Caenorhabditis elegans: one gene and its partners. The protein of the gene in region 2 interacts with the protein of the main gene of each other region in a pairwise test. Each region holds a gene or a part of one and is shown on either strand. Other genes may lie near its edges.

Evidence for each region.
Region 1: the proteins of lsy-2 (region 2) and mys-1 interact in a two-hybrid assay, tested with the Caenorhabditis elegans proteins (one large-scale study listed by BioGRID).
Region 3: the proteins of lsy-2 (region 2) and drap-1 interact in a two-hybrid assay, tested with the Caenorhabditis elegans proteins (one large-scale study listed by BioGRID).
Region 4: the proteins of lsy-2 (region 2) and dpff-1 interact in a two-hybrid assay, tested with the Caenorhabditis elegans proteins (one large-scale study listed by BioGRID).

Annotation. Positions count from the first base shown.
Region 1 is NC_003283.11:7,080,819-7,086,560, forward strand, and holds mys-1 (Histone acetyltransferase Tip60 homolog), read right to left. Parts: upstream 3,845-5,742; 5' UTR 3,836-3,844; coding exon 3,697-3,835; intron 3,652-3,696; coding exon 3,474-3,651; intron 3,411-3,473; coding exon 3,065-3,410; intron 2,551-3,064; coding exon 1,855-2,550; intron 958-1,854; coding exon 940-957; 3' UTR 727-939; downstream 1-726. Other genes in the region: npa-1 (Polyprotein allergen nematode domain-containing protein), read left to right, coding at 1-148, 544-636; VC5.2 (Laminin EGF-like domain-containing protein), read left to right, coding at 5,214-5,636. UniProt on the Caenorhabditis elegans protein: Probable catalytic subunit of the Tip60 chromatin-remodeling complex. Plays a role in acetylation of nucleosomal histone H4 and perhaps also H2A, probably acting as a component of the Tip60 histone acetyltransferase complex.
Region 2 is NC_003284.9:2,087,814-2,093,847, forward strand, and holds lsy-2 (Zinc finger protein lsy-2), read left to right. Parts: upstream 1-1,890; 5' UTR 1,891-1,986; coding exon 1,987-2,013; intron 2,014-2,191; coding exon 2,192-2,332; intron 2,333-2,383; coding exon 2,384-2,489; intron 2,490-2,541; coding exon 2,542-2,698; intron 2,699-3,113; coding exon 3,114-3,197; intron 3,198-3,248; coding exon 3,249-3,344; intron 3,345-3,403; coding exon 3,404-3,580; intron 3,581-4,449; coding exon 4,450-4,558; intron 4,559-4,659; coding exon 4,660-4,755; intron 4,756-4,811; coding exon 4,812-4,916; 3' UTR 4,917-5,440; downstream 5,441-6,034. Other genes in the region: col-164 (Nematode cuticle collagen N-terminal domain-containing protein), read left to right, coding at 5,676-5,904, 5,957-6,034. UniProt on the Caenorhabditis elegans protein: Involved in transcriptional regulation. Required to specify left-right asymmetry of the ASE gustatory neurons, probably acting upstream of microRNA lsy-6.
Region 3 is NC_003283.11:9,730,197-9,734,713, reverse strand, and holds drap-1 (Transcription factor CBF/NF-Y/archaeal histone domain-containing protein), read right to left. Parts: upstream 2,756-4,517; 5' UTR 2,550-2,755; coding exon 2,477-2,549; intron 2,200-2,476; coding exon 1,958-2,199; intron 1,909-1,957; coding exon 1,285-1,908; intron 1,181-1,284; coding exon 1,124-1,180; 3' UTR 692-1,123; downstream 1-691. Other genes in the region: cal-7 (EF-hand domain-containing protein), read right to left, coding at 410-477, 521-611.
Region 4 is NC_003281.10:5,902,977-5,908,284, forward strand, and holds dpff-1 (Zinc finger protein dpff-1), read right to left. Parts: upstream 3,147-5,308; 5' UTR 3,140-3,146; coding exon 3,057-3,139; intron 2,931-3,056; coding exon 2,677-2,930; intron 2,639-2,676; coding exon of another isoform or gene 2,627-2,638; coding exon 2,421-2,626; intron 2,372-2,420; coding exon 2,269-2,371; intron 1,477-2,268; coding exon 1,387-1,476; intron 1,340-1,386; coding exon 1,107-1,339; intron 1,056-1,106; coding exon 906-1,055; 3' UTR 587-905; downstream 1-586. Other genes in the region: ER lumen protein-retaining receptor erd-2.2, read left to right, coding at 4,082-4,273, 4,318-4,560, 5,008-5,214. UniProt on the Caenorhabditis elegans protein: Probable transcription factor, involved in meiosis and stress protection.

The DNA of each region.
Region 1 (5,742 bases), on a different chromosome or scaffold from region 2:
GGCTTTCGGAGAGGAGAAGGTGGCTCAATTCAAGGCTCAATACAAAAAATTGAAGGATGAAAATGCGGAACAGTCCGAGATTGAGAAGTTGTCCAATCAATACATTGACGAGATTGAGGATGAACAGAAGAAGGACTTTGCAAAGGCTGTAAGTTATTAATTATGGGGCCGCAGCAAGCGCGCTTCAATGCCAAAGGAAAACGCTCCGCCTCCTAACGTTAGGTCTCGGTAGGAGGCGGCGAGACTGTAAATTCAAACTTTTTCACTATTTTTTCGATTGTTTTTTGTTGTTTTACATATTTTTTATGTCGAAATGATGTTTAAAATACTTGTCGTTTCGAAATTATAATATAGTCAGAAATAACCGAAAAAATAACAAATTCCTAACGGGACCCAACGTTTAGGGGCGGAGCACTTTTCGTTTTACATTGGAGCGCGCTTTCGCTTAGATTTCAAAAAACTCTATAATATACAATTTTGGATTTTTTTATTCAGATTGTTAAAAATTCGAGTCCTGAAATTAATTTTTTGAATATCTTTCAGGTTGTCACTGGCTGCAAGCATGTCTACGCCTCAACTCGTTCCCGCCGTGATCTGATCGCTCAGGCGGTTGCCGAATATCTTCAGAACGCTTAATGATTAGAAAACTTCACTTTTGCAGTTATAAACTTACTTGTCTATATGATGAATTTTAATTATTTGAACTGCAACAAGAAGATTATGAAATTCAAGAATAATTTCATTAAAAAAATAAGTGACTAATAAGTCAAATTATTACACAGAACAAATGAAATGAAATGAGGCGTACGCTCTCTGAGCGGTGTGGGAATGATAAAGGGATAGCGTAAGCTTTTCGGTGTGTAGATGCGAGATAAAACGGAGTGTTATATTTTAATGTACAGGTTGAGATCGTCGTGGCGAGAACACATGTCGTTGTTGCTAGAACATGATCTGCGCCTGAAAAAAAAGTTCATAAAATAATTTAAAGATATATTCCCGGAGACTTTTTGCTTTTGTGCCGGTTTTTCGATTTTTGGATATTTCGAAAAAAATTGCGAGAGTTCAAAAATTATTTAAAATCTGCCACTATTCTTTTTTTTAGAAGAATAGTATGTTTTGTGAAAATATTTCTATTTTTTTTCGATTAAAAAATCGAAAAAGACAATTTTTTAGTTTTTCGGAAAATCGAAAAACCGACATCCTTGTTACTGTTTAAATACCTTATTAAAACTAAAATAATTAAAATAAATTTTTCTTTTAAAACTTAAAAACATTGATTTCTATTTTTTTTTCTCATCAACATATACAAAATTTGATTTAAAAAAACGGTTTTTTAAAAATAAATTTCTGAAAAGTTTTTTTTTTAATTTTTCAGTTTTCCGGACGTTCCAGATTTTTCAAAATTACAATTTGGTTAAAATTAGGTTTATTTTTTTTCGTTTTTTCGAAAAAAAATTCGCAAAAACTGAAAGATTTGAGTTATAAATTTTTGATAAATTTAGTAAAAAGAAAAATGATTTTATTAGAAAATTTCAATTTTTTGACACTGTAAACCAGTATTTCCATTTTTTTCCTTAGTATTTAGTATTTCCAGTGTTTAGGTGTTTTTTTTTGAAAAAGAGCAAAAAACTGGAAAAAAATTGTAGGGTCAAATTTGCTCAAAAAAGTGCAATTTCTGTTGTTTGTATGAAATAGGGCGTAAACCGTTTTTTTTTAAATTTTTTTTTTGGTTCTGCCAAAAACGAAATTGTTTTTTTTTGGTTTTTTGAAAAAAAAATGTTATCACGAATTTAATTTAATTTTAATTTTCAGTTTTTAGCCGTAAACACGAATTTTTGATTGAAAAAAACTCACTCTTTTCTTTCCGTACTCTTTGGGTCGCCATTGCAGAGCTGCTGGATTAATTCGTGTCTTCTTTTTCGCAGCCTCAATCCGTTTCTCATAAACTTGACGCTTTTCATCACTAATCACAATTATGTATGATCCCTTATAGTATTTGTATAGATCAAGTTGCTGTAACGTTGACACAACATCTTCTCGTTTAATCGATGTACTTTGTGAAATGTCCTGAACTGTGATATCTTCGCCTGGATGTCGTCTTTTGAATGCGAAAAGCTCTTTCATGATGGCCATTGACCAGTACGATCGATATGAGAGAAGTCCCAAATCTGATAGTGGTTTTTCGGGTGATCCTGTCTTCTGTTCAATTTTCGAGAGTTCATAGCTGAATTCGATGAGCAAACTTCCGTATCCTTTCTTTTGAAATGGAGGTAACACAAGAATACACGCAACATTATATTCTTCAGCTGATTCTTTTTCTTTTGAAAAGTATCCAACTATATGATGACCCTTCTCGTCTTCTTCGGTTAGCACATAGAACAAAAATGGATCCGTGTCATAGTAAAGAGTCTTGTGATCCAGAAAAAGTTTGGCAAGCAGGCATAGATTCTGAGCATAGCTTTTGTTTTTGCGGCCGTCGATTTCAAAAAATGAAAGTTTATCGTGACTGTAGATTTGATTGCCAGGTGGGTGACACATTGCACATTTTTCCTGAAATAAAATTAATTAGAATTGGGCATTTTAATTAAATGATAGAAAATGAAGAGTATGGACCGAATGTAATTGTTTAAAAAATTAAAAATTTGTCTATTTTTTACGTTTTTTTTCCATTTTGCAAAATAGAAAAAGTAGCTGATTTTAATTTGAATTCCCACGCAGAATAATGGCCTATTTGCGAAACTTTTTTGATTACGATAAATTTGGTTTGAAACACCGTTTGTGAATTTTTTTTTCGTTTTCGCAAAAAAGTATTTCAAAAATGCAATTTTTGGAGCAAATTCCCAGAATTTGCGATTTTTTTCGATGCCGGAAAATTTTAAAAACATTGTTTCAAAACTAATATCAACGGAAAAAGCAAGAAAAACCGAAAAATTCAGCCAAAAACACACAAGAACTCGAATTTTTTCGAATTCACCGATTCTTTCATTTTTGGAAAATTGAAAATTTTTGAATTTTGAAAACAGTTATTTATATTCGGTCATTTTCTATAACTCGAAACACTCACCATGTGCCGTTTCAGACAAGTTTTCGACTTTAGATATTTCAGACAAAATTCGCAAATATAAATACAATCCAAACTTGTCAATTGTTGTGGATAAGGTGCAAAGTACCATGGCTGAATTCGTGATCTTCCTAGTTCAATGCATTCGACATTTCGGATCCTTGTCATTGCATCTTCACTATGGCCGACCATCGACATGGAACCTCGAAGACTTGGAGTAGATCCGCTGGTCATCGTTGAAATTGCTTGTAATGGATCTACGGATTCCGCCTTGAGATCATCCATCGGAAGTAGTGGAATCTTTCGTTTTCGGCCGCTTTTCTTTCCTTCATTTTCATTCGAATCTCGACTGAAATAATTATGAATTGATAAAACTATTTAAAATCTTTTGAAAAGTTTATAGATTTCTCACTTTTCTTCCCGCAAGTGTGCTCCTTTCTTTCCTCCTTTTTTTGGTAGCTCACACGACGCTAAATTGAGCCTATCAGACTGAACCCATTCGTCAAGTCTTCGGTTGCAATCGATATAATGGACATAGAATTTAATTGAACCATTTGCAGCTCGGCATCTTGAAATAACTTCGGCCCATCCTGAAAATAATTGGAAAATGTGTTTAAATAGATGTAAAAACTAACTTTCTTCTTCTTGTGAAGCCATCATGACCAATAACCGGCATCCCTCTGTAACTTTCTCGTATTGCCTGGGATCTGTTGGTATTTTCTTGGATATTCCATGATTTTCGTCCTCTATAATCTCCTTCTTCGGCTCGGTCATGATAAATATCTGGAAATAGTACAATTTTGTGTGAAAAATTCAATATTCAATAATATAGCAATCAAATGTGAACGATAGTACTTTCTTGCGTGCATAATCCATGAACAACATCTAAAAATCGATCCAAAAATGAACAAACTAGTTTTTTAATTTTAAAATAATATTATCCGTTGTTAGTTTTACTATTTTATCAATAAAAAACTTTAAAAATGCAAGAAATAATTGTGAAATCATGCTCGAAAAAAATAAAACGCGCCGGCTGGCCTAGAAACCAACCTCGGCCGCACTGCGCCGGCCACAGGGAAAAAGGGCGGCAATTCAAAAAAGAATAACAAGGGTGGTTGAAAATTGACCGCGGCATAACGTTTCAAGGCAATTATTTTGCGAAATGATCTTGAATTAAATTATTCGAATTGAAAAATAGTTATTTATAATGTACGATTGTACTTTCAAAAAAAAAACGATCACAAGAAAATTAGGAAAACGCAAATTTTTGAAGATGCTTAAAAAATGAACTGAATTCAGTGGTAAAATTTCAGATATCTAGATGTCCATTGCACTGTTGAGCCACGAACAAAAAAATTTAAATCAATGCTGCGCGAAAAGGTGTGCGCCTTTAAATGGTACAGTAGCCGAGTTATTGTTCACGAGATTTTCTCTGAAAAACATAATTTTGTTGAAAACCGAAATTGAAAAGCATGAAAAATGAAAATAAAACAGCAAAATTTTAGCTTAAAAAATCTAGGAAAAATCAAAAATCGAAGAAAGTTGCGAAATAAGAGAGAATGGATTACTGTACTTTTTCATCAAATTCCAAGTTTCCAACTTCAATTTTTCCTACATACTTTCGAGTCATGTGTTGCAAGAATGTATCGGTCTTGACCCTGCAAGCTTTAGATTCAAATGAATTCCTTCAATTTCAAAATTCAAATGTTACATTCAAATGTTGAATCCGGCATCATCGGAGCAACTACGAAGCACACAAAAAATCCGAAAACAAAAAATCAAATATCAAAAAGCGACAAGTGACAGGATGAGATGAAGAGACGAAGAGTTGAAAATCATTGAACTGATTGAACGCGTCACATCAAAACACCTGTTCGAACAAGATTGATAAGAGAGCCTCTTCCTCGTTTATTTTTCCTCTTTTTCTTATTATTCTTCCTTCTTCTTCTTCCCATTTTCCGATCATTATGATTATCATAACACTCGTGAAAGAATACGACCTTCTTTGTAATCTATATATCTTTTTCGTCATTTCTTTTCTCTTTCGATCACAGAAAGTAATTGATCGTCGTTTCAGGTTTACCGCCGTCTCCGTTTACTTCTACTATTTTCCATTTTCAATTAGAGAAGACGGTTTGACCCATACTCTATCATGTCACTATATTTTATACTAATTGTTACTATAATAATCCCACAATTTGAATTTATTCATTCACCTTTATCTGAAAAGGATATTGTTACATTCCGCTTCAATTTGGTAAATCGTCTTGATCAGTGCACATTATGGAGATCAAAACTAGATAAAAAAGTTTCAAATACGTTAGATCATTTTTTAATGAACTCAAAGTTTGATGAATTTCGAGAAGCATCTACACAATTAGCTGCAGATATATACCCGGAAAGTATTGACTGCCTTGACTCTTGCTCTTATGATATTGAACAATTTAATGATTTCGTGAAATCTGAAAGTTTAACTACAAAGAATGATCTTGGAGACCTTCTTGATAACGAGCAAATTTATCAGTTGCATATGCTTTTGGAGAAAACAAAACGGCCGGATATCGTGGAAAAAGGGGTGAGTTATTGAAGTTTCAATTTTAATTTTAACGATTAAAATTCTATATAACAACTTATGTTGTTTTATAATATTTTTTATGGGAAATGGATGAAAAAATTTCAAA
Region 2 (6,034 bases):
GAACGGAAACTAGCTGGCTGTTCAGCAGATGTTCGTCAAGATGGCACCCTTCATGGTAAAAGTATCTTTCACGTTTTTTTTTCTTCGCCGAGTATCTGAGTAGAGGGAGTTTCTCAACTTGTGCTCGTTTCTCTTAATCTAATTTCCCAGAACAACTTGGCGATTGTACTTCTTTTCTGAGACGTCGAACAAGTTTTCACACTCTTGTTAGAACACTTCACTTTGAAGGAATCTTACTATAAACTTTAGGTATCCTTAAAATTTTGATACTAATTGTAAAGACTAATTTTTCGAGTTTCTGGCTTAATATATTATTTTTGAAAAAAAAACGTTTTGTTTTATTTTAGTTCACCAAAACTCCCCTTCTCAAGATTTTTCAATTAGAATTGTGAAACTTATGAACATAAACTGAACAAGACACAAATTTCTCCTCAGGTTTAAAAAAACATTTGGAAAAAATTTGTTATTTTTGGTAAATTAATTTATATAACACTACTTATTGGTATTTTTATAAATAGTATAAATGCTGATAGGTTTCACAAAATGTCAATCTTTATTTGTTTTGTTGTGTTTGTTAACAAACTTGCTTTGTAGTCAATAAATTATCAATAAATATATAAATCTTATTAAATTTAATCTAAAGCTTTAAAATTCAAGAGATCTCTAACTTTTTAATTTTGTATTAAACTACTATTAACCGTTTTCACACTTTTTTTTCGAAATTAATATACACTTATTTTATTTATTTTTCAATTTCATTAACCCGAAAACATTTAATTTTATAATTCAGAATGATGAATTTACACCATCCGCAGCACCAGTCCAATTTCCATGAACAACACACGCCGTTTGCTGCTCCGATTCCAAATGGACACCACAACAACCACGTCTGCCTCCACAACAACAACAACAACAACAACTCCCAATATACTTGGAGTTACACGGTGAGCCAGCGTGGATGCGTGCGAGCAGCAGGCAAGATGCACATCTGCTCTTCGTCTGGGGCTTACGGCGTTGCACGAATATCGAATAGTGTTCATAGCGAATAGATGCGATTTTCTGAGTCCTGATCGATTTTCATTCAAATTTCCAATTTCAAATTTCAAGGTTTTATTTTTTCATTTAACTTTTTTCAATTTGCCAAAATCGTTGAAGTCTTTTGCTGGGTTTTGTTCAGTTCCAAAAGCAGCTGTGACAATATTATACATGTCTTTTATGTTAGGAAAAATATTATTGATCATGTATAATTTGATTGACTTTTACTATTCCAAGCACTAACTTCTATTTATAATTAAATCTTAATTTTACTTTCAATAAAACATTTCTGATGCAAATTATTTTTAAGACTTGCCATAGCCCAAAAATTAGCAACCAATTTCTCAATTCTCGGCCACCTGAGATTATGAAAACGCATCTGCTTATTTTTGCACCTGTTTTGTGTTTTCGACCAAACCATGACTAAAACTAAAATAATTTTTTTCATAAAATTGTATTTTATTTAGAAAAAAAAGACAATTTTAAAAATTCCGAAAAATTGCAATGAAAATGTTTTAATTTGCACTTTATAATTTTGAAAAAAAAATTGTAAAAAATGACGATTATTACGAAATAATATAAAAATACAGTTTAATTTTTTATATCTAATTTTCTAAACACTCGCAATACACAAAAAACTCATTATTTTCTAAATTCTACACTTGCTGAGTTATCAGAAACGATGTAAAAACCACGAACAGCAAGCGACGGTGGTGACCTCTGTCCTCTCGCTCACTATCCTTGTTGTTTGTTGCGCGCCTGCGTCTCGTTTTCTCGTTGCGCTGCGGCCGCGTCGCGTCCCCTCCGAGTGGTCGCATTTCTTACCGTATCGTTCTCATACCATAACCCTTTCTGCACTTGGCGGCAAGGTGAATAGTTTGAATTCGACGCTTCTTTCGCAATATCTAGCAGTCTCGAGCTGTTTTTAAGCTGTCTGAGGCAAATTTTGTCATGCTAACCAGAAGAAATGCTAAGCAGGTAACTAGATATCATTTCAAAAAAAATTTCTAAAATTTTTTGAAATCTCTTGAAACCCATGTTTTCATTTTTATTTCGCTTCTGTACTTTAACCTTTCCTTTTATAAACTCCTTTCAAATTTCAATTTATCGAATCTTTTATAAATTCCCTACTTTTTTAGACGTTCTCTACTTTCAGAGTCAACGGAATTCTGCGGATCAGTCCCTCTCTGAATTCAACAGTTCCAGTATGACTCACGGGTCGAATCAGTCAGTTTATCACCACAATCAACACATGGATGACTCCGAAATGATGATGGATGAGCAGGATTATTCTCAGGTACTCAAAAAAATTCTGAAACCATTTCAGGGGCATCATAATCAATTTCAGTATCAAATGGGGTTTCCTGAAGAAGATGAGATGGTGGAAGGAATGATGACCCCTCGAGCTGTGCACCAGTGTAATGTTTGCAACAAAATATTTGTTTCCTATAAAGGTAATTTTTTGAAAAATACGGTAGCTTTGTCTAACTCTGATTTTGTTTTCAGGTCTCCAGCAGCATGCAGTGATACACACAGATCAGAAGCCTTTCCGATGTGATATTTGTTCAAAATCATTTAGGTTTAAGTCGAACTTGTTTGAGCATCGTTCAGTCCATACCGGCTTCACTCCTCACGCCTGTCCATATTGTGGAAAAACTTGTCGGTTAGTGGTTTTTTTAAACAACATTCGCTGTGCTCTTTCAAATGTACAGTAATAAAAATGTGGCGGGTTGCGAAAACGACCGTTTCCCCTTAATTCTCATTCTCTCACAGTCGACTCTCCTCTGCTAATGCGCAGTACGGTGTGTACAGTGTACGGGCCGAGAAACGGTAGAGAAAAAGAGACGGACGAGAGACACCGTAATGCCATAGGCGACACTGTAGAACAATCGATAAAACGAAGAGAAATAGTGTTAGAATGGTGAAAAAGGCGTAGATAAGATGCATGCCGTACTCATTTCAAAACGGCACTCGTGACAGTAATCTAAATGTTGCGGGTAGAAAACACAAAAATATAATCAACAAAAATTATTTAGGCGATACGAGAAATAACAAACAAATTTTTTAAATTTTTTCAGACTGAAAGGCAACCTCAAGAAGCATCTTCGCACACACGTCACGACGAAGGAAGAGCTGGAAGCTGCCTGGAGGCCGTTTGCCAGGTTTGATCTTAACAAAAACGGAACGCCAGTATTGGCAAAATCTCGGTTCAGCAACCGTCGGCCGCCTGCTGACATCCCTGACGACGCCATCGTACTTCGTGGAGCCGGAGGACCGTACTACACGCCGCCGCCTCGTCCGAAGAAGAAGTAAGCAGACATCCAGCATGCACAATTAAAATGTGAGATTACCGAATGTTTTTTTTCAGGAAGCTTGGACTCGGAGAACCAGAGCACTGGGTGGACAAGTTGAGAAGAGGAGATCTTCTGCCACAAGTTGAGCTTGAGGACAAGATCAGACGTCTCGAAGACACTATCTTCAACAACATGTCTCTTGAGCGTTGGGGCAACCTTTTCGAGATTGCAAAGTCCATTGCATTCGAGACGTGAGTTTATTTATCCTTGAACTGAAAAGAAATCGGAGTGGAAAATGCCGTTTGAGCACATGAATTCTCAGAATTACGGTACATATTATATACATACCTGCTCTCCGTGCGTTTGAGAAAGATTTGACATCAATTCAAATTTTTTGCAACAGTTTCGCTACGAAATTTCGTCAAATTTTGATTGAATTATTATCTTAAAAGAGAGCGTACTTTATAATTTGTTTTAAAATGGCTGGAAGATTGTTGAAAGCATAGAAAGCATCAAAAAGTGAATGTAGGACTGAAAGTGAGTATAAGTATAATATCTGAAAAGCGCTCGGTGTGCGGCAAATTTGCCGAATTTGCCGAATTCATCGAATTCCGTAAATTTCAAAAATGTAGACTTGCCGAATCTGCCGAGCCCGGCAAATACTGAAATTTGCCGCACACATGAAACAATTTTTATAAAAATTTTGTACAAAACTAATGGTTTTGAACAGAAACCTAATGAAAGTAAACATAACATCGTGTTTCTTTTATTTTTTATTGAAGAAATCCACACGCGCATTAGGCAAAATTCGAACAAAAACCAGTAAACGTAGTTTATTTTTTAAATCAATTTTGGCCCTCTTTGAGCTCGAAAAATATTGCGATTTACTGAGTATGACAACCATGGCAAATTTGCCGAATTTGCCGCACACCCATGGTGCGATTCATTTCCTAATATATGCCTGGGTTTGTATACTTATTGAATTTTTTTGAACCAACTGAGTTGTAAGCTCCCAAAATCGAGCAGTGCATTACTAATAGAACTAATAGAACTATTATAATAGAAGAGAACACATTACACAGTTTAAATTAAAATTTTCATTAAACCTACCTAATTTCAGCCATGATTGTCCAGTGTGCAAGTCTCAATTCATGACCAGAATGGATTGTGTCAGCCATCACACACTCGAACACGAAAATCATCGGGAGGGTCTTGAATTTTTCTGCGAAGTGAGTTCTATAACGTTGTAATTTGAGTGGTTTTCTGTCTGTGGGATGATTGAAAATTTGTTATTATTGTTGGATTTACGATACAATATATATTTTTTCAGAAATGCTATAGACCATTTGCTGACGAGGCCAGCTACAATCAGCACATGAGCTACCACACGCGAGTTAGCAGTTTGATTGAAACTGGAGAAATTGTTGTACGTTTACAAAAGTTAATATTTGAACAAATAACTAAAGCTCACTTTTTTTTCAGCCTCAGCCAGCAGATCCGGAAATTTTGGTACCAACGAATGACGAGTTTCAAATGCTGTTTGGCGCAAACTTTGGCCAGCAGATGATGGAACCACAGTTGATTTGAAATTGATTATTATTATTGTTGCTTAGATAGAGTAATTCAGCTTGCGCACTTACCCATTTTTGACGCCTTCGATGACATTTCTTTCAACTTCTCTTATTCACCTTTTTCAAAACGGGGTACTTTTTTCTTCTTGTTTTTTTGGTTCTTTTCTTACCTCGGGGATTAGTATTTTTTGAAGATTTCCTACCCATTGACAGACAGACTTGCTCTTTCAATCATTTTTTTTTCCAAAATTGTAAGCATGCCGTTTATCATTGTTGGCATTGATCTACACCAGCGATATCTTGCTCCTTATTTCCATTTGTAATCCGTTGTTTTTTATTATTATAACCTAATGTATAACCTATTGAGGAGTTTGTATAGTCGTTGTAGTAGTCTTTGTTTGTTTTACCTTTTTTTCCCGTTGCCTGATTTCGTCTATTTTTATATATTCTTCTCTTTTGAGCCGATTGTATAGGTGTTCGATTAATATGAAGTGTCATAATTCAATTTATGGAGTGAATAATAAAATTTTGATACGTTTGAAACAAAATGGAATGAATAGCCTGGTATCCAGAATATGCAAATGCAAAAACTTGTTGAAGCGGTAGCAAGGATCAGATAATACAAATGAAAGTGGTTTGAAGTGAAGATTGGGAAGGAGTAGGACAACTTCCGGAACATACCGATCAGAGTTTTAGATAACACATGTTGTATATAAGACGGTAGTGGGGTACAACATTCATCAACCAAGTTTTTCTCCATTGTTTGTTTCGAGCAATGAGTTACAAAACTATGGAGTCGTCTTCGTCGACTGTCTCATTTGCAGTCATTCTTTCTGGAAGTGCTTTCTTGATTATGGTAACTGCTACTCCTGTCCTTTTCTATACTATGGGAGACATGACTGCTCAACTGGAAACTGCAAAAACTGGTTTTGAAGAGACTTCGAATGTGCTCTGGAAGGAGCTTGTTACGAATGAAAGCCACCGCAGAGTTGCAAGACAAACATGTAAGTGCAGATGTTAACGTTATCTGAAAATATTTGACAAATGAAAATTTAGACAAGGAAGGAGGAGCTGCTGGTGAGGGATCTCCTGCCGCTACAGCACCCGAAGCCAGCCCTGTGAAAATTGACGACT
Region 3 (4,517 bases), on a different chromosome or scaffold from region 2:
TAAACTGTTACAATAAAAATAACCAAAACAATACTAGAATATCGAAAACAAAGAAAACCTATAGAGATGCAAATTGAGTTTTCAACGAATATCAATAAGAAATTTTCAGCTATAGGTACAACTTTTATATTGACGACGCTCCTACTAATTGGAAGAGCCAGGAGAAACATTTAAGAGTTTATGAAGTATGAAAAATAACTTCATGCACTCGAGGCGTGTTCGCCTCTTCACTCACCCTACTGAAGGGCGCGAGGAAGGCGAGTGGGAAGGCGGGAATAGGCTCCCCGTGACGCCTACACTAGGTGGAATGTCTATTTGATCCGGTTCTTAATGATATAAATGAGTAGAAAGTTGGAGAAAAGCACCACGTGAAAAGCCAAGTTTCAACAGTAACTACAGTAATCCTCACTTCAATCAAACCATCAGAATCCTCGTCAAACATCTTGAATACATCGAAAAGACGACGTCGAATATCTTCTGAACTTCCTTTTTTGTTTAAATTGGACAAAATATTACAAACCAACAATTACAGAATCTACTTCTTCTTTTTGGCTCTCATTTTCCCCTTCTTCTTCAATGTTTAATAAATCTTCATCTTCGCTCAGATCCATAATTTAGCTGAATACTAATATAATGTAGATCGCTCTAGTTGTTGCGCGAGTTTAGTGGTCTTTTCTGTCGGAAATATACGTTTTCTGGTTGAATAATTTTTATATTAAATACTACAAAAACGGAAATTGAATTCTAAAGCATGACAAATATAAAAATGAAGAGAAAAATTGAATTAGAGAGACAAAGAGCAAAACAAGTTAAACATATGACAGAGAACATTTGGAAGGTTTAATGAAAAGCGACGAGCATCCTGATTTATGAAGGTGTGGGTCGGTAATGGTTCATATTGGGAGAACATCGAAGTGATTAAATTTTGATTTGCCAGTGAACGACAAAAAATGAATAAAACAAGAGAAATAGAGAATAGGGTAGACCCGGTGAGGATTTGTTTTTTTTTTCTTAACTTGGAGCAATAGAAAAGGAGAAATTTAGATCAGAAATGGAGGGCAACGAGACCATTGAAAAGTACACGATTAGGAGAAGAATAAAATTTCTCATAGAGAAGTGAGGATCACGGACGGCCAATAGGCAGTGCTGGAGGAGGCATCAACTCGCGATCCTTGTCTTCCTGAAAATGATAATTTTGCTTTAGATCAAAAGGATCACAGAACCGTAAATCAAATTACATCTTTAGAACATTTTGATTCTATGTCTAAACTTTTCAAATATTACCTTGGCTATATTCCTAGAAGCTTCCTCGTAGAGATCATCATCAATACATTTTTCAGGTTTTAACTTCTTTGGGCGTCCTCGCTTTGGTCTGTCTTCTCCATCACCATCAGTAGATGCTCGTTTTAATCCTGTGAGACGTTGTCCTTCAGAATCTTTTTTCGAGTATTTGAGCATTCCTAGCATACCATTTACGAGTTGAGTTGTCGGAGTGCTAGGAGAAAGTGGTACGGTGGCTGTGAGTTCTTGAACTACTGGATAATTGGATGGAATCCCTTGAAGATAAAGTGGAAGTGGTGCTGCTGGGGATTGCGGATCAACTAAATAAGGAGAAATAGTTCCATCTTCTTGTTTCAATGCTTGTTGATCCATTTGCATCATTTGCATCTGCGCATTGGCAAGAATTGCACTAGCAAAATCTGAATTTTGTTGCTCTTGGAGCATTTGCTGTCCTCTCAATGTCATGCCGGTACGTGCAGTATTCAATTCAGATGCTTGCTGTGGAAGTGCAACATCTTTGAAGACTGATTCTAGAAATGAAAAGTGTGGAGTGTTGAGAACCGCCTGCTTCATGTGTTGAGGGTTTAGCGTCTTTGAAGATGTGAATTGAGTAGCTTCTGCGGCAGCCTCAAATATATATTCAAGGTTCAAAATAACTATGACTGAGTCTTCTCACCTGTAAAAACTTCTCCGCAAAATGCTCCATTGCTCTTCCGATGCTGACAGGAACTGACTGAACCATTCTTCCGATATCCTCATCACTTTGCATAACCTTCTTTATGCGTGTTGGCTGAATTTTTGCAGTGCTGAAACGACGTCTTCGGATCACAGCAGCTGCCTGTTGCTGCTGTTGGTTGCTGCTACCTGTTGATGATGAAGCACCGGCTGATGAAGTGGATGCCAACGTTGACATTTTTTCTGAAAAATAAATTTAAATAACGATTTGATCCTAATCTGTTAATTCTTAGATATTACATCTACAAATTGTTTTAAGTCGCATATTTTTTGAAGTTTCTAGATAGTTCATGATCCAGAAATGATGCCGGATACTGACGGTTTTACCCAAAACAAATTAAGGGTTTTTGAAAATAAATAAGCTTTCATTTTAAGATTTTATGAATGTACGTTTTCCGATTATCTATAATCGAGTTTCTTTTTTGTTCCATCCACCCTAAAAGATAAGGTCAAAACTAACGAGTAGCCGATGCATAATTGACGGGTAACATCGGCACCGCAAAGCCAACATCGCTTCCTCTATTCTGATCCATCTTGTTTTCTCCTCTCTCGAAATATGTATTCTCTGGTTTCCTTCCAAAAGTGTCAGTGTCTCCGACGGAAACGTTGCTGACGAGAGAAGACGATGTTGTGGAGATTTGGAGGCACAAAATGAGAGAGAGAAAGAACGAACAACGGGTGGTTTTCGAGAGATATAGAACTATTCCGAAGACGTCATCGATGATGGGCCTGAGACTAACTGAAAGTTGGAAGCTACTGTATAATACTCTTGAGGTAAAGCGATGAAATGAGAGATTATTGAACCATGAAAGAAGGACATGATGTTTCATTCATAGAAGCTCTCTTAACAACTTTGGAAAAGACATTTAGAGCCCATGAATAATCAACGCAAACTTTTTTTTCTAAAATTAATGGTCACTATTTGATATTGATTGGAATTATTAAAATATTCTGTGCTCAGTAACAAAGGGATTCAGATAATTAGATTTTGTTATATTTCATTTCCCGTTAGAGCAACTCCGTTTCGCAACAAGTGTGTTATGTTCTATATGTTCTGTATGTACACAGCCGTTCGGGTCTCATCGATCACTATAACAATATAGATCATCACATCAGTACAACAATTGATAACAAAAAAGAGGCGTGATGGTATCTTCCTTTTTTCTATTTCTCGCTTTCATTTTGGTTATTTCATTCTTTAATGATAACGCCATTTATTCCATTCTGCGTCGTGTCGATTCGATTCGATGTCAACGCACACACACACACTTACACATCTACTGGCCAGGACTGGAGGAGAGCGCGTAAAGACGAGTGATTGAGCGCTTCGGTGAGGAGACGAGAGAATCTAAGGGAAATAGTGTATAAAGAGGAGATAGAAGGGGGAAAAACGGAGAATAGGAGCAGAAAGGCGCTGGCCGATCACACGCAGACCTCGCGTTCTTCCCTCCTTTATATACAGCGGACAAATCGGTGATTCGCAGGTCTGCGCGACTACGGTACCCGCTGCTTGTTCTGCGTCTCCACGTGTCGTTTCACTACCTTTTCCCCCTTTTATTTAGCGTGCGCCCGCGCCGCGCCGATGTTTGAGAGTCTTTGATGCAGCTGTACGGGCCGAGATGAGAGGGAAGAGAAGATGAGAGAAGCAGAGAGTTGAGGGAAAGAACATAGACTCCTCCTCCGCATACTCGATTTGTATGTTTTTGTGTGGACAGACGGACAGATGGATAGATGGCTGATTTGTCAGCTTGCCGTCGAATTATTGATTGTTCTTTTGTGAAGCAAAGTCGAGATATTGAAATGATGAAATTATCTTAACTGTTCAGTATTTGCATAAAGAATTATTGAACGGATATTTTTGCAATTGTTGCCTATGAGGTGATTGAGATCTTTTTGCGAATTTTTATTCTCCAATTTACTAGAAAAAAAACTTAGAGGCAAATTTGCGCAAACATTTTTAAGTTCAGACCAGGATGGGCGGCAAAAGAACATTTTCGGCAAATATATTGATCGACATTGATCAAGTTAAAAATTTGGCCAAATGTCTTGTGCACATTTAAAATATTTTGAAAAAAATCTACAAATGAAAGAAAATTTAATTCGTACAGCAGTGAAGTTTTTGTGGCAAAAGATTTATCTAATTTTTCTTTGTATATTAACTTATAAAAATTTACAGATTTTCAGATTTTCTTCTTGGATATGAACATTTTTAGAGAATTTTCAATTTCCCAGCAATCGGCATTTTTGGAAATTGATGAATTGATGAACTTTCGATAACTCAGTATTTTCCGCAATTGTTTAACTGTCAAAATAGCGAAATTGGAATTGTCGCCCAGCTGGTTCAGACTACTTAGAATTAATAGAAAATGTGATATCTTTTCAGAAAAAAAAATCAGAAATTCAGTCGACGATTGAATTCAACATTGTTTTTCGGAAAGAACGAAATTGAACACGAATTTACTATTTAATTATGCAGAGTTTTTTAGTTTATCGATTTTCAA
Region 4 (5,308 bases), on a different chromosome or scaffold from region 2:
TAGAGAAAGTTATAAAATAATGTTATGGTATTTATATGGTAGTAGGTCAGATAAGATGATAAAATGATAATAAAATGAATACAAACAGTTAATTCTCTTTTTATGAAACAACCAAAGTAAATTAAACATTCTAAAACGATAATTTTAGATTTTTTAAAACTAGATATATTACCCAGATACGAAAGTTTGCAATTTTCACTTAAAAATACAGTACCAGGTCTCGACAAGACCAAATATAATCTCCACGCCCCATGGTTTTGCAATTTTATTTGTTGTAATTTTTACTCTAAAAACCTATTGGATGTGACAATATTTATCTAAAATTAAACAATTATATATATTTTTAACTAGCTTAAATGAAAGAAAACTGCAAAACAGTGGGCCGTGAAGGTTACTGTACTTCTTAAAGGTGCCTATCTCTTTTCATTTGGATATATTCGATCGTTGTAAGACCTTGTATCGTACTCCAAGATGTTAATAAAAAAAATTGTCAATTAAACTGGAAAATAGTAATTTGAATTAGAATTTTCAATGTTCCGTTTGATTCTTTGAAACTTCCAATATTGTTCGAGTTTCTTCACATGTGTTTTATTTTGAATCATAGTATTTATTGAACTTTTTTATGATAAGACTGAAATAAATAAAAAGGACGAGGAAAATGTGGAAGTACAAAAAAGAAAAGAGCGAGAAATCAAAGTAGCAGAAGGAGGGGTGAGTGAGGTTTTAGGCTGGCTTTTTAGAACAAGAATTTTTCTCTATGTATGAGCCATTACGTAGTAATAATAATACTTAAAGTTCAAGTGAAAATGAAGAATAAATAATCGGATGACGGTGTGGGAGGATCGTAAGCAAACGGGTCGAGATTATGCAAAAAATATTGGAATAAATATAATATTTGAGAACCATTACTTCTTGGCCGGTGCACTCGCTTTGTCTCCGAATTCAACTTGACATAACCGACATGAATACTCATCATCTGGAGCTTTTTCGAGCGCCGGAGTCAGACAATAAAGATGGTATCCACGATCACAGTCGTCACAGAAGAGCAATTTATCCTGAAATCCAATTAATATTGCACTTTATAAATATAATAGAAAATATCTTACATCATTTTCACTTGTACCACAAATGGTGCAACTCTTGCACTCAAGACACTGCCATCCGCTTCTTTTTATGATTTTGGTCACATTTTGATTAAAATTAAGACAGGAAGGATGACCAGAACGACCACAATCATGACAACTAACGAGATCCTCTGGCAATTTTGTATTTTTGTTCATAAAAGCAGTGCCGCTGCAGAAATCACAGCTAGTAGATATTTCTATACTGGGAGACAATACTGAAAAATAATACATTTGAAAATAGCTTGGAATGCAAAAAACTTACACTTAACCAGTGGTTGACTAGACTTTTGATCATGAAGATACGACTGATGATAGCTTAAACCCGCGAGGCTTTTGTATTTCGCGCTGCATTCTGAAAATTATCAAAAATTTTAAATTACAAACGAAAGGACTTGGGAAATATGCGGTTTGAAAAGAGTATTTTCAAATCACAGATTTCCCATTATGCCACATCATATAAGCTTCCAGGAACACTCAGTACATGCTAAATTTAGTGCCTATATTTCTACAAACTTCCTCTCGATAGACCCCGTGTCCCGGGTGGGAGAGATGTATTTTTGATCAGTTGAGCGGTTGCCGCAGGATTTTTTACTGAGGTCCCTCTCGCCCAGGTTTCTTTTACAGAGGGATAAAATACTAGGAGGGATATAAGAATGGGATATTCAGGATACATATTGGCTTATGACTTAGTGCAAATTGATAACGAGAGGAAGGAAGCTAATACATTTGATAAGATCCACAATTATGTGAAGAAGTACTACAAATCACACCACTAATTATGAAACTAATATTAAAAAAAGATCATACATAATCTTCCAAAATTTATTTTTTAGACCAAATTTCCCATTTTTTTGATTTAATTTTCCTTGGATCTCTGGAGAAACATGCATAATTAAAAAAAAAACTAAAGCATGCAAAAACATAAATAATCTCGTGCAATTTCCAAGCATCCTAATTTTTTGAAAAATCTCGAAACCGAATGAATCAAGATACGAAAAATTAAACTAAAAATCATGATGATAGTGTTCCCGGTAACTGACATGCTGTGGGCGATGGGGGAGGCAAATAAGACTAAAAAGGACAAGAAGAATGGTGTGTTCTCCTGGGCGAGAGGGCTTCGCTAATCCGCCGTACAACCACTCACTGTCACATGGATACGTCTTCTCCTCCGGTTCTTCATATTTTGTTTCCTTCACTATGGAACGAGATGGGGTCAATCGAGAGACAGAGGAACGAGTTGTTGGTACCTAAACAGTCAGAATAAAATTATTTAAACAATTGAATAAATAAAGAAACCTTTTTACGTGACGAAGTTGCTTTCTGAACAGGCCCCAAGTTGCCTTTACGGCGTTTACGCGACGACCAATCATCTTCATCGGAGCCAAACTCGTCTGGAGAGAGCTCATCGTCAAGAACGTAGTCATCACGATATTCCTCTTTGATCTGTGTTTGGCGGGATGGTCTGATGGTAGTTGAGTCGTTCGAACTATCAGAAACACTTTCTGCAAATCGAACTACAAAAATTAGGTTGAATCGTTCTGATGCTTCTCACCAGTTGTTGGTCCGACAACTTGTGGAGTGAGATGATCAATTGCAACCTGAATAGACGGATTCTCACGCAAAAACATGCTCATCTCAACAGCATCAGATGGTGGCTGTGACTTGCTCTTCTTCCATCTCTCGGTTGCGAATTGAACAACAGTATTTGGATCATTTGATGGATACATGTGATCCACGTTGCGGGTTGTGAAGCGAGACTCTCGCTGGGCCGTAGCCGTTTGATGTTCATAGTATGGGAACCGCAGTCTGCAACTTTTAGGGGCTTAGTACAACCAAAAAATAATTCCTAAATGCTCTAAAGATTTATCATTACTTAGATTATTCAGATTTCAAATGGATCTTTTTTAAGTAGCCGAAACATCAATAACTAACCGTTTTTTACGATCCTCCATTTGCCGGGAATTCCATTTAATGCAGTTCCGCATCAGGTCCATATATCCGTTTTCCGAGATCATTGTCTGTAAGATTAGCTGTCTTGGATTATTTTTAAACATTTTGATAGCTCAAGAAATCGGGCGCCCGGTGTGAACAAACAAAAAAAACAAGAGAATGAATGAACACTGATCGATAAATTGGACAGCTGCCGATGTACGCAAACACCAACACGCGAAATTGCGTATTGTCCAGCGTGGACTCGTTGGCTGATGGACCTTTTGGCTCGAGTTTTCTTCTTCGTTTCCGGCCTAAAACGTTTCGTTTTTCAATTAAACAGTTTAAATTTTTTGCGATAATTGATTAATATGTAGCTACGCATTATGTGAATACCAAAAAATGGTTGAAAAGTTCATGTAGGCCTACAATTTTAGAAAATCTAGGTCTTTCGAAAACAAAAAAAAAACATTCGGTATTCAGAACGTTCGAACAAAATGCTCTATTCAAACATTCTAGTTTTCATAGAATATTTCCATGCATTTTACCTAGCGAATCGAAATGTTTGTTTTTTTGTTGAATGCAGGGTTATGTGTTTTTTAACTGTAAATACACGTAGTTTTTGCATTCAATGTTTAAAAATTTTGTCTTTATGTTTTAAGTTCCATTTTTTAGTTTTTTTCAGTAAACCTTTTTAGCTTCGTTGCGTTGTATTTGCATTTTTCAAAATTCCCACGTGGCACATTCAGTGCTGGCTTTTATTGCACTCTTTTTTGTCTGCGAAAGGAAAACTCTAAACCATTTCTGTTCGTTCTCCGGAACTTTACCGTCCATATAATATAATTTTCTCTGTTCCCTATCACTCTATCCGTTATCTTTTGATAAACAACGTTGACCTCGATAATTGAAAACATACCCATTCACTGGAATGAATAGGTGTTTTCCAATTCATTTCATATTTGCGTTTTCTTTTCTTTACCTGATGTATGTATCTAAATTCTCAAAGTATGATAATTTTTAGGGTCATCATGAACATCTTCCGTATATCGGCAGATATGTCGCACTTGCTTGCGATTATCATCCTTCTGCTCAAAATCTGGAAGAGCAGATCGTGCTCCGGAATCTCTGCGCGGTCGCAGATTCTGTTCGCTCTCGTGTTCACTGCTCGATACTTGGATCTTTTCTCCACATACATTTCTTTGTATAACACTACAATGAAGGTAACTTTCTGTCCGTAACAATTATAAATACAATCAAATTTCAGATCACCTTCCTCGCCGCTACGTACGCCACAGTGTATCTGATGTTCTTCAAATTCCGCTCAACTTACATGCGCGAGTCGGATACCTTCCGTGTCGAGCTTCTCATCGTCCCAGCTGCGATCCTCGCTCTTCTCATCAATCACGATTTCGCTCCATTTGAGTTGCTCTGGACTTTTTCGATCTATTTGGAGGCTGTGGCCATTCTTCCACAACTCTTCCTTCTCCAGTCTACCGGTTCCGCTGAGGTAAATCTGGAAAATAATAAATAATACAATAAATGCGCCAAATTTGACTTCAGCGTGCAAAATTTTCCCTCTCAATTCGACATGCCGTAAAAAAGTGTAAAATCCAGAGATGGCAAAATTGGAGATAGTACAAGAAAATTGTTGTGCTTAGAAATTGTCGTTTCTCCCGATTCCAACCGTTTTCCCCGTATTCCGAATTTCGCGCACATCTCCGCTGTAGTCCAAATTGATTCGTCAGCCTTTTAACTTTGCTAATATAACAACCTGATGAAATTTGACTGAAAGTTAATCCATTCTTTTCATAAGTTTTACTGTGTTGTTTGCAAACACTCGACATCTTTTTTTCTTAATTTCTTTTGGATTAGACATTTTGGTGTAGAGACGCAGACACCAGGCCACAAATTGAGCCTTCTATCTCTCTCCCATATTCATCGTTTCTTCTTCCAGGTCATCACTGCTCACTACTTGTTCGCTCTTGGCTCCTACCGCGCTCTCTACATTTTCAACTGGATTTACCGCTACTACACCGAGGACTATTTCGATCCAATTGTCGTTGTTGCCGGAATTGTACAAACTGTTCTCTACGCCGATTTCTTCTATCTTTACGTCACCCGTGTCGTCCAAACCCGTAAGGGTATGGAGCTCCCAATCTAAACGAACGATTCCCATCCTTTTTGACGTTTTTTCCTACGAGGTTATATTAATCTTTACGGAGTTGGCGTTATAATTCACACTAAGTCTGGTCACT